Drosophila melanogaster: one gene and its partner. The gene in region 1 interacts genetically with each later gene. Each region holds a gene or a part of one and is shown on either strand. Other genes may lie near its edges. The genes, in order: Bsg and sicily.

The links.
Region 2: of Bsg (region 1) and sicily, changing one suppresses a phenotype caused by changing the other (phenotypic suppression), as found in Drosophila melanogaster (one study listed by BioGRID).

What each region holds. Positions count from the first base shown.
Region 1 is NT_033779.5:8,086,466-8,091,493, forward strand, and holds the start of Bsg (basigin), read left to right. Parts: upstream 1-1,838; 5' UTR 1,839-2,051; intron 2,052-2,144; exon of another isoform or gene 2,145-2,240; intron 2,241-2,637; exon of another isoform or gene 2,638-2,928; 5' UTR 2,929-3,198; coding exon 3,199-3,271; intron 3,272-5,028.
Region 2 is NC_004354.4:11,889,615-11,894,245, reverse strand, and holds sicily (severe impairment of CI with lengthened youth), read right to left. Parts: upstream 2,515-4,631; 5' UTR 2,209-2,514; coding exon 2,027-2,208; intron 1,958-2,026; coding exon 1,843-1,957; intron 1,517-1,842; coding exon 891-1,516; intron 657-890; coding exon 575-656; 3' UTR 501-574; downstream 1-500. UniProt on the Drosophila melanogaster protein: Involved in the assembly of mitochondrial NADH:ubiquinone oxidoreductase complex (Complex I) at early stages. Interacts with cytosolic Hsp90 to chaperone the Complex I subunit ND-42 in the cytoplasm.

The DNA of each region.
Region 1 (5,028 bases):
TTTTCGCTTTATCAACTGGCAAGAACTTTGGAAAATTTGTCAATTATTAGTACTTCTATTGTCAACTACAAGTCCTATGACTCTTCTTGCTTCTTTATTATTTATGAACTCATTGCAAGCATTGCAAAATGTTCTCTATGGTTTGGTTGTTGGAAACACCTCATCAAATACTATATACCCCCCTGATCGCTTTAATCTCAGCGGGCAATGCGAACAGCTGATTTCATATTTGCTCTCGCAAATTTGTAAAAATAAATACGGCTGACCAATAATAAATGCGACGAGACAACCCCCCTCGATGCCGCCAACCCGCAAAAAACCCCTACCTTTCCAACACCCATGCCGAATTAGCAAAGTTCCCTGCCTTCCGAAAAGATGGAGATCTACATTCGTGTGCGAACCGCATAGAACCGCCCGAAACCAGAGCGGCAGTGCGAGCGGGACGGCAATGGACCAGAGGCGGTCAGTTTGGACGGTCTGGTGGTCTGGGTCTTTGGGACTCGGCGACTGGGCCGCGGACATCTGACGTCGTTGTCGACCATGCTCCGGCTACGGTATTATATCATGTGGCCAAGACGTTGGTGTGGTTTTTGGTTGCGGTAGTATTGGTGTTGGTGATACGGACGGACGGACGGAGTCCCGTATTTGTTCAAAGTACTGCATTGGGGCTTTATCTTAATGCGATAGAATGAGAGTCGGATTCGTGACACGTTACGGAAACATTTCAACTGGCGTTCTATCTGCTCTGCTGAGGGCCGCACGTCGTCTGGCGGTAAACAAAAAATCCAGCGCACTATGATTTAGCGTTGTCCGTTCGACGGTTTTATTGCCAAAAGTTTGAGAATTTATTTTGACTAGTTTTTTTTGAGCTGTTTCCTTGTATAACACAATTGCTTTCAAAAATGTTTACGTGTTTTATGGCTTTTATTTTGGGGGGAAATAGAAACGAGTAAGAATTTTAATTCTTATGTAAGGTTTATTATTTTAGCTGTTTTTCAAACATTGATGCCTTTCGTCAGTTGAGGAATTTTAAAGCTAATGTTCATGGATAATGAAATCGGCCAGCTCTGGTGATAGCTTCTACCCTTTTTTTTTTCTTATCTATTCTGCTTACTCGGTGACTGTCCTCCCGCATTGATAAGAGTGGGAATAGTTGTTTTCTCGACACATCCGCAATACGAAATTCTAGAAGTAATAATAGATCTCGGGCCAATTGTTATCAGCTTTTATGCGGACGTCATGCGGTGAAGCAAATGGAATGCTATTTTTCTTCGATCGTCAAATAATTGGTCGTAATTACTCGCAGACTCTGTCACTTGGTGATTTTTGTTGAATCATTGCTCGATTGCAATTTGTTTGATACTGTTCCTTAAGTGCTTCTATAGGCTGAGAGAAAAGTGAATAAAAGTAGCGTACTTTCAGGCCCATACGAGCACAAGTACATTGTAATTCCGTCAATTTGGGAAATTCCTATTGAACTGTAAGATAAGGTTTCCAAGAGCAAATATTGATTAATAACTCAATTTATGGTTTTAAAATTTTTTTTAAGTTTCTAGCTAATTTAGTAGCTTGAAGTCAGACCTAGCTTCTGCATTTTGTTTTAAATAAAACAGGTGATTTCAAATTCCTAAAGATTCCTGTATAATGAAAAAATGTCGTTTAAACTCGATTTATTTTTCGCCATTTTGTACAGTACTCGTAATCGGTCTGGTCAAGATAACGGCCGAACTATTTAGATAAGCTGACAAGTGTATGTCAAACTGAACCCAAATCACTGTGCGTCGACGTCGCTGCCGCAGCGAAGGCGGCTACTCTCGTCCGTTGGTCATGTGTGCGATTCAGTCTGCTCGCTGAATTCGCCGCGTTCGCTCTGTTCGCTCTGTTCTGTTTGCCTCGTTTTGGCCCGTCCGTTTGCCAAATTTCGTTTGCTTTTTGTGTTCCCGTTGTGCAAGAACAGCCAAACAGAAACAACAACTACACTAGTACAAGTACGTGCAGCAACAACAATGGCCATTGGCTAAAAAGCAGCTAGAAATTGTTGCGCTCCTTGTGTAAAACATAATTATTTGCTCTCAGTCTCAAGAATCCCTCACTCTCTTTCTCTTGCTTTCACTCTATCTCCCTCTCTTTTGCTCGTTGGCTAGCCAGAAAAATAGTATTTTCGTCGTCAACGTGCCATAATTTCTTTTTTCTGCTTAGCCAGCAAAAAAATAGAACTTTTGGACTGGGAAAAGTTAGATGTGCGTTTGTGTGAGTGCGTGTGAAAAAAGAACTGCAAAAGTTAACGTTAAATTAGCGGGCTAAAAGAAAAACCCAACCACCCGCCGCCCCACTTATGTGAACAGCACGTGCTTAGCTGCAGTGAAAATAAAACAAAAAAAAATTAAATGTGACATTTGAAAAATTATACATTTAGCTGAATGTTGAATGTTGTTCGTTCGGCTTTCGTTTTGATTTTGATCTTTTCGATTTGTTTTTGTATCCTTGATTCCGCTCCTCTCCACAATCTCTTCTTAATTTGAATATTGATGTATAATTTTAAAAAGTTTTCTCTCACTCGTCTTTCCTTTTGCCTTTGTTGTTGGAAAAAAGCATACAAATAAAACCGAACGAAAAACACAACAAAAAGAATACGGGGAAGCGCACGAAAAGTTTGCCTTCATACGAAAATAAATGCAAAATGAGAAATTTTCTTAAATATTTTTATTTGCGAATATAGCTTCATGAATTAAGAACAAAATAGGAAAGCTGGAAGAGCCAAAAAATAGAAAAATTCGCACTCAAGCAAAACACCAAACGGAAGATCCAAAGCAAACAACCAACCAACAACATCAACAGCATCAACTAATATCAAATTAAATAACTAAGCCTAATAACGTATACATTTAAAGATCTATTTATAAATTAATATTTACCATAATGATTTAGTAAGTTAAGCTTAAAGTACAAAAAAAAAAAAATAAGAAAAGCAAAGAAAAAGAAACACCACAACCAACAACAACATCAACAACCAACCAACCAACAGCCACAAATAATTAATCAATCATTAAACGGAGTAAATTCACAAATCTGTAATAAATGCAAATGACAAGGAAATAACGAAAACGACAACAACAACAAGTCACCGCCAACAACAACAACCACACATCGGCAGCATAATTAACAACAACCAACAACAACAACGGATCAATACCAAAGATGGAGGCAAAATTCTTGGCTAGCGCTCTTTCATTCCTCTCGATATTTTTAGCGATTTATGCTCAATCACTTGGTGAGTACAGCCCCCCGAAAAAACCCCTCTAAATCTAAAAGAATGAACCCCCTACAATAAGCATAATGATAAACAAAGAAGGCCCTTTTAACCTATAAGTTGTACCCCGCCCATAAAATCACCCTGCCCCAACCACACACCCACCCATACACACATATAATATTAACACACCTATGTACGTAGCAGCCCAGTATAAAGGAATACAAAAAATATACATACATATGTATATGGGGGAAAGTATGGTTAAACTGCAGCTGTGATAGCAGAAATTGCAAAACAGAACACAACCGAACCGAACAAAGCAAAACAAAGAGGTGGAGCAAGAGGAGGAAGGGAATAAATAAAAAACAGCAGATTGTTTGTGGCTTACTGTAACACCCACTAACCTTATCCCACGCCCCCTAATTGCCCCGCCACCCAAAACAAAAGTGCACCCACCAAAGGGCGAGGGTGTTCGTCCACCCACCACCTGACTTTTACCCCTTCCAAGTTCACCCTAAAGCCAGACCCTAGCCGCAATAATGGAAACAAACAGTATTAATACGAGGCGACTTAAATCAATGGTAAAGTTATCGGAGAAATGTATCGATAATTCTTCAAATTAGGGGATCTCAGAAAGGGGCACTTTGCTGGTCCTTTAGCCACAAGACACAAATGGGTTTTACCAGCGATATTCGAAAATATTAATATATTTGAGTCCGCGCTTTTAAAAATGAAACTTTTATTTCGTTCACGTTCTCGTCTTTGAATAGAACCACAAAATGGACAATCACATTTCTTTTTTGCCCGGCTTTATGTATTCTCTTTTCATATTGCACGGGACACCATCCACCCACCAGCCACCCACGAGCCACCCACCATCCATTTTCCAACTTTGGACAAGGTCTCTGTGCTGCATTCTACTGTTTTGCCCTCTAGTTAAGCGGACTTCGATATTTTCGTGTTGCTTTTATAGTTCATATTGTTGGGTCGGTTGGATGGACTTGGGATTGGATTGCAGTGCTGCCATATTGACATTGTTGCTTATGTTTTTTCCCCCTGCCGTTTTCGTCGTAGGTTTTCCGTCGCTTTTCCACTGTTCGCGCGACCGCATTTCATTTGATTTTCAATTTTCCACACAATTGCTGAAAGAGAACAGCGGCGAATGTCGGAAAAAAAAAGCAGAGGAGCAGAAGCAGAAGCAGACGCAAAAGCAGAGTATCAAGTTCATTTCGGTTCTAGTGAGGGCTATCTTTAAGAATTTTTGTTTAGCCTTAAGAAGACTATTTTACATGCGGTCCAATAATTACGGCCTGTCTCTGGTTTTCCCCGCTTGTTTATATTAACTTTAGCCGACCCAAAGCGAAGCGGACCAGAACGAATCGATTTACCGATTAACCGATACGTGCCCGATACGTACCCGATACGAACCGGCAACGGTGGCCTGCATTTTGTTTACATATGGAACTGGGCAGCCCCGCCTCGCACCTTCCACCTTCCTTGGGGATTTGTCTATGATGCCCGCGCGGGCGGTTCCATCTATTTATTATTCTATGCATACTATCCATTTACCTATTCTACTTTATTCCATACATCCATCTATCTACATATCTATCCGTCCGTCCGTCTGAATATCTGAATGTCCGTCTGGCTCTGGCTCACTACCAAAACCTACGTATGTTCATGAATTTTGATTTTTTTTTTCGCTAAACTGAACGTTTGGCTGGTTTTGTTTTGTTTCGTACATTATTTAGCCCCATGCAGCTATTTTCACATTC
Region 2 (4,631 bases), on another chromosome or scaffold:
TCTGGGTTTACAAAGTTCAATCCAGGAGTGCGAAGAAAGCGCGCCAAAAACTCACCATGCCAAAAGTACGCGTAAAGTAGGCGTTGCAATTTTTCCGGAACTAGCAACCGGAAGCCGGAAACGGGCCCAAAAACAAACGGTGCTTATCTTGTTGAGCGATCGTCGCACTGCTCCGTTCTCATTAATATCCAACACACACTTTCCACATCAATTCTAACATTCATAAAAAACTAAAACTGCGCCTGAAACGCTCTGAAATCAGCTAGCAACTACTGTACCAATCGGGTCTTGCATCGTATCCACCGATACCTTCGTCGGGACGAACCTTTGGTGCACCTGTCATCGATAGTAATTACGTCCCGATTCGAAGCGAGATAGCGATATTCCTGCAACCGTTCTTAACCCATTTCATCCAAAAGATCCCCGATCCGATTCATATTCGTATTCTTATAAACATTGGAAATCCTCTTCTATTGATTCGAGAAAAAGTAAGAGCTCTTATTTTAAAGTGATTTTTATTAAAGAAGTCAACAATGAAGAATTTATTTCGTACTACATACTAACATAATCGCTATCAGAACCGATTAAGCAGCGACTTCCAGAATAAACGTGCTGGCAGTAAGGTGTCGCGGCCTACGCAGCTCTTGTGGGTTAGCCTATAAGATGGGAAAATTATTATATTATTATGGGGATTGATAAAAAGAAGGGTCCGCTCCATGAATACTGAACAACCAACAAACTATAGCTAGGTTTTGAAATAAAGAAGTCTCAATAAAGGCAAATCGTACTTATAACTGGATAAAAATAACATCTTAACTACAAAAAGAAGCTGGTTCTCTCCTGTGTTTGTCGTAATATAAAACAAAGCAATATAAAACAAAGGAACTCACAGGAAGTTGGCACGGCGGAGGCGCTCCAAATATGCATCCGTGGCCACGGCGGAGAGGAAGATCTTGCGCACCTGCGGCGGCACCTTATCGTGCAGCTGCCTGGCGAGCTTTAGGTGCGTATTGGCGGCACTGGCCACATCGAATATACAGTCCTCGACACCCTTGTCGTCGCTCTTAGAGCGAATGATGCGCTCCTGGCTGACGCCATGCAGCACCAGCACCTCGAGCGGAATGCAGGGCGCCTGCTGACGTCCTGCCAGCGGTATCGATCGCAGCAGGGTGGCGATGCCTTGGGCCTTGCCCAAGTGGGAGGCGGCATGATCAGCATTTAGGTCACGCACTCCGCCCACCTCCAACAGCAGGAGCAATAGCGAAGAGAAGGTCTGTTCCGTGTACTCCTCCAGCTCGCGTATCGACTCAAATGCATGCGTGGGCGGACGTTCCCGTGCTGTGACCAGACGGCGCAAATATACCTTATTTAGCTTGCGACTGCCCACCGTGTGCTTCAGTTCGCGCAGGACAGGCTGGTCCTCCACGTACGATCTTTGGGAATCCGGCTCAAAGCACTTGTCTATGGAGTCGTGCCAGAACTTAAGGCGCATTTTGGCTATTTGCGGCTCAATTTGCTGCAAGGATATTTGTCATTATATAAACGATTTTACTGGACAGAAATAAGAAGTTTAAAAACTACGAAGTGTTGCTTATTCTACGAATTTCTCTATCCGTTTTAAAGGAAGGAGAGAAATTATACTCTTGCAGTGTACATAAGAAATTAAGAGATTTGTGAAACCGTTCGAAATGGTAATAATATTCATGAGATGCGGACATAAGCCACTTATGCTTACAATAATATTGATGCGGAGTAACAGAGTCTGAACGGAGTCTGAATTTAAGGCGCCACGTTATTCTAACTTAAAAAATAAGCCCCAAGGAATTTCGATGCTCCACTCACATGGCCGCTAACCGATCTGGAGACCTCCACATTGAATGCCCGTAGGGCGAAGGCAGCACGTCGCAGTTCCCGTGGTAGGAGCAAGGTGCACAGGTAGTTCTCGTAGTCGTATTTCCTGGTTATCCGGAATAGATCCATGTTCAATTATACGGATAACTTCAATCGACAAGTTTGCGCTACTTACTCCACTAGACTCATGCAATGTTTGGCCCCGTATCCATTCTTGTCCGCCTCAATCACTTTCTTTTCCCTGGGAATCGCATTGGTCTTGGCCTCCTGGTGAATTCCGGCATGGCTGACAATTTCTTGGCCGGATTTGGCGTTAAATAACAATCGGCAATTCCAATTTCGCACCAGGCGCCGCATCTGTGCTTCTTCTTTCCACCAGACAACTGAACATATGTTCTGAGCGGTGCTGCCAGATCGCACTCGGTCTGTCAGAAAGTTACTACATATGGGGTATTCGCGATTACGCGGAAATTTCATTTGGCGGAAGATTCAAAATGCTGTATGTGACTTGTTGGTAAATTTATAATGCATTATTATAGCTTAGCTTAGGTAGTTTACCATATAAAGCTTAGCTTAGGTATATAAATACATTATCTTCCGTAAATATTGCTTTTTTGCCATGCGTAATCTTCTTGACTTCTTTTCTTTTTGCTGTGAGGCCATTTTTAGACAAGTTATAGCCAAAAAAGCCAACTTGAAAATTGAGTTTTTTGCCAAAAGTAGTTTCCAGATTTTTTGTGAAAAAAATATTCGGTATTTTGATCAAAACATTGAAAATAATGACTCAAATATGGAATGTCATACCTCGTTGAGTTTGTTTTTTAAATCCCAATCGATTTGCATTCAAGTTTGGGAATTCTAGAATTTTTCATTTTTTTGCAAATTTTGATGATGGTACGTACCCCTTACAAAAAATGCGAAAATTTGTCCAAAAATTAATTTTACAAAATCAATTAAAAAGTTAAAGGGATGGTTAGTGTTGATCATAAGGAGTATAAAATGGTAATTCTTTTTGCTGTGAGTCCATTTTTAGTCAAGTTATAGCCACAAAAGCGAACTTAAACATTGAGTTTTTTGCCAAAAATAGTTTCCCAGTTTTCTGTGAAGAAAATAATCGGTATTTTGATCAAAACATTAAAAATAATGACTCAAATATGGAATGTCATACCTCGTTGAGTTTGTTTTTTAAATCCCAATCGATTTGCATTCAAGTTTGGGAATTCTAGGATTTTTCATTTTTTTGCAAATTTTGATGATGGTACCCCTTACAAAAAATGTGAAAATTTGGCCAAAAATTAATTTTACAAAATCCGTTTTAAAGTGATAGGGGTTGTTAGTATTGGTCATAAGGAGTATAAAATGGTAATTCTTTTTGCTCTGTGACCATTTTTAGACAAGTTATAGCCAAAAAAGCCAACTTGAAAATTGAGTTTTTTGCCAAAAGTAGTTTCCAGATTTTTTGTGAAAAAAATATTCGGTATTTTGATCAAAACATTGAAAATAATGACTCAAATATGGAATGTCATACCTCGTTGAGTTTGTTTTTTAAATCCCAATCGATTTGCATTCAAGTTTGGGAATTCTAGAATTTTTCATTTTTTTGCAAATTTTGATGATGGTACCCCTTACAAAAAATGCGAAAATTTGTCCAAAAATTAATTTTACAAAATCCGTTTTAAAGTGATAGGGGTTGTTAGTATTGGTCATAAGGAGTATAAAATGGTAATTATTTTTGCTCTGTGACCATTTTTAGACAAGTTATAGCCAAAAGAGCCAACTTGAAAATTGAGTTTTTTGCCAAAAGTAGTTCCCAGATTTTTTGTGAAAAAAATATTCGGTATTTTGATCAAAACATTGAAAATAATGACTCAAATATGGAATGTCATACCTCGTTGAGTTTGTTTTTTAAATCCCAATCGATTTGCATTCAAGTTTGGGAATTCTAGGATTTTTCATTTTTTTGCAAATTTTGATGATGTTACCCCTTACAAAAAATGTGAAAATTTGGCCAAAAATTAATTTTACAAAATCCGTTTTAAAGTGATAGGGGTTGTTAGTATTGGTCATAAGGAGTATAAAATGGTAATTCTTTTTGCTCTGTGACCATTTTTAGACAAGTTATAGCCAAAAAAGCCAACTTGAAAATTGAGTTTTTTGCCAAAAGTAGTTTCCAGATTTTTTGTGAAAAAAATATTCGGTATTTTGATCAAAACATTGAAAATAATGACTCAAATATGGAAAGTCATACCTCGTTGAGTTTGTTTTTTAAATCCCAATCGATTTGCATTCAAGTTTGGGAATTCTAGAATTTTTCATTTTTTTGCAAATTTTGATGATGGTACCCCTTACAAAAAATGCGAAAATTTGTCCAAAAATTAATTTTACAAAATCCGTTTTAAAGTGATAGGGGTTGTTAGTATTGGTCATAAGGAGTATAAAATGGTAATTATTTTTGCTCTGTGACCATTTTTAGACAAGTTATAGCCAAAAGAGCCAACTTGAAAATTGAGTTTTTTGCCAAAAGTAGTTCCCAGATTTTTTGTGAAAAAAATATTCGGTATTTTGATCAAAACATTGAAAATAATGACTCAAATATGGAATGTCATACCTCGTTGAGTTTGTTTTTTAAATCCCAATCGATTTGCATTCAAGTTTGGGAATTCTAGGATTTTTCATTTTTTTGCAAATTTTGATGATGTTACCCCTTACAAAAAATGTGAAAATTTGGCCAAAAATTAATTTTACAAAATCCGTTTTAAAGTGATAGGGGTTGTTAGTAT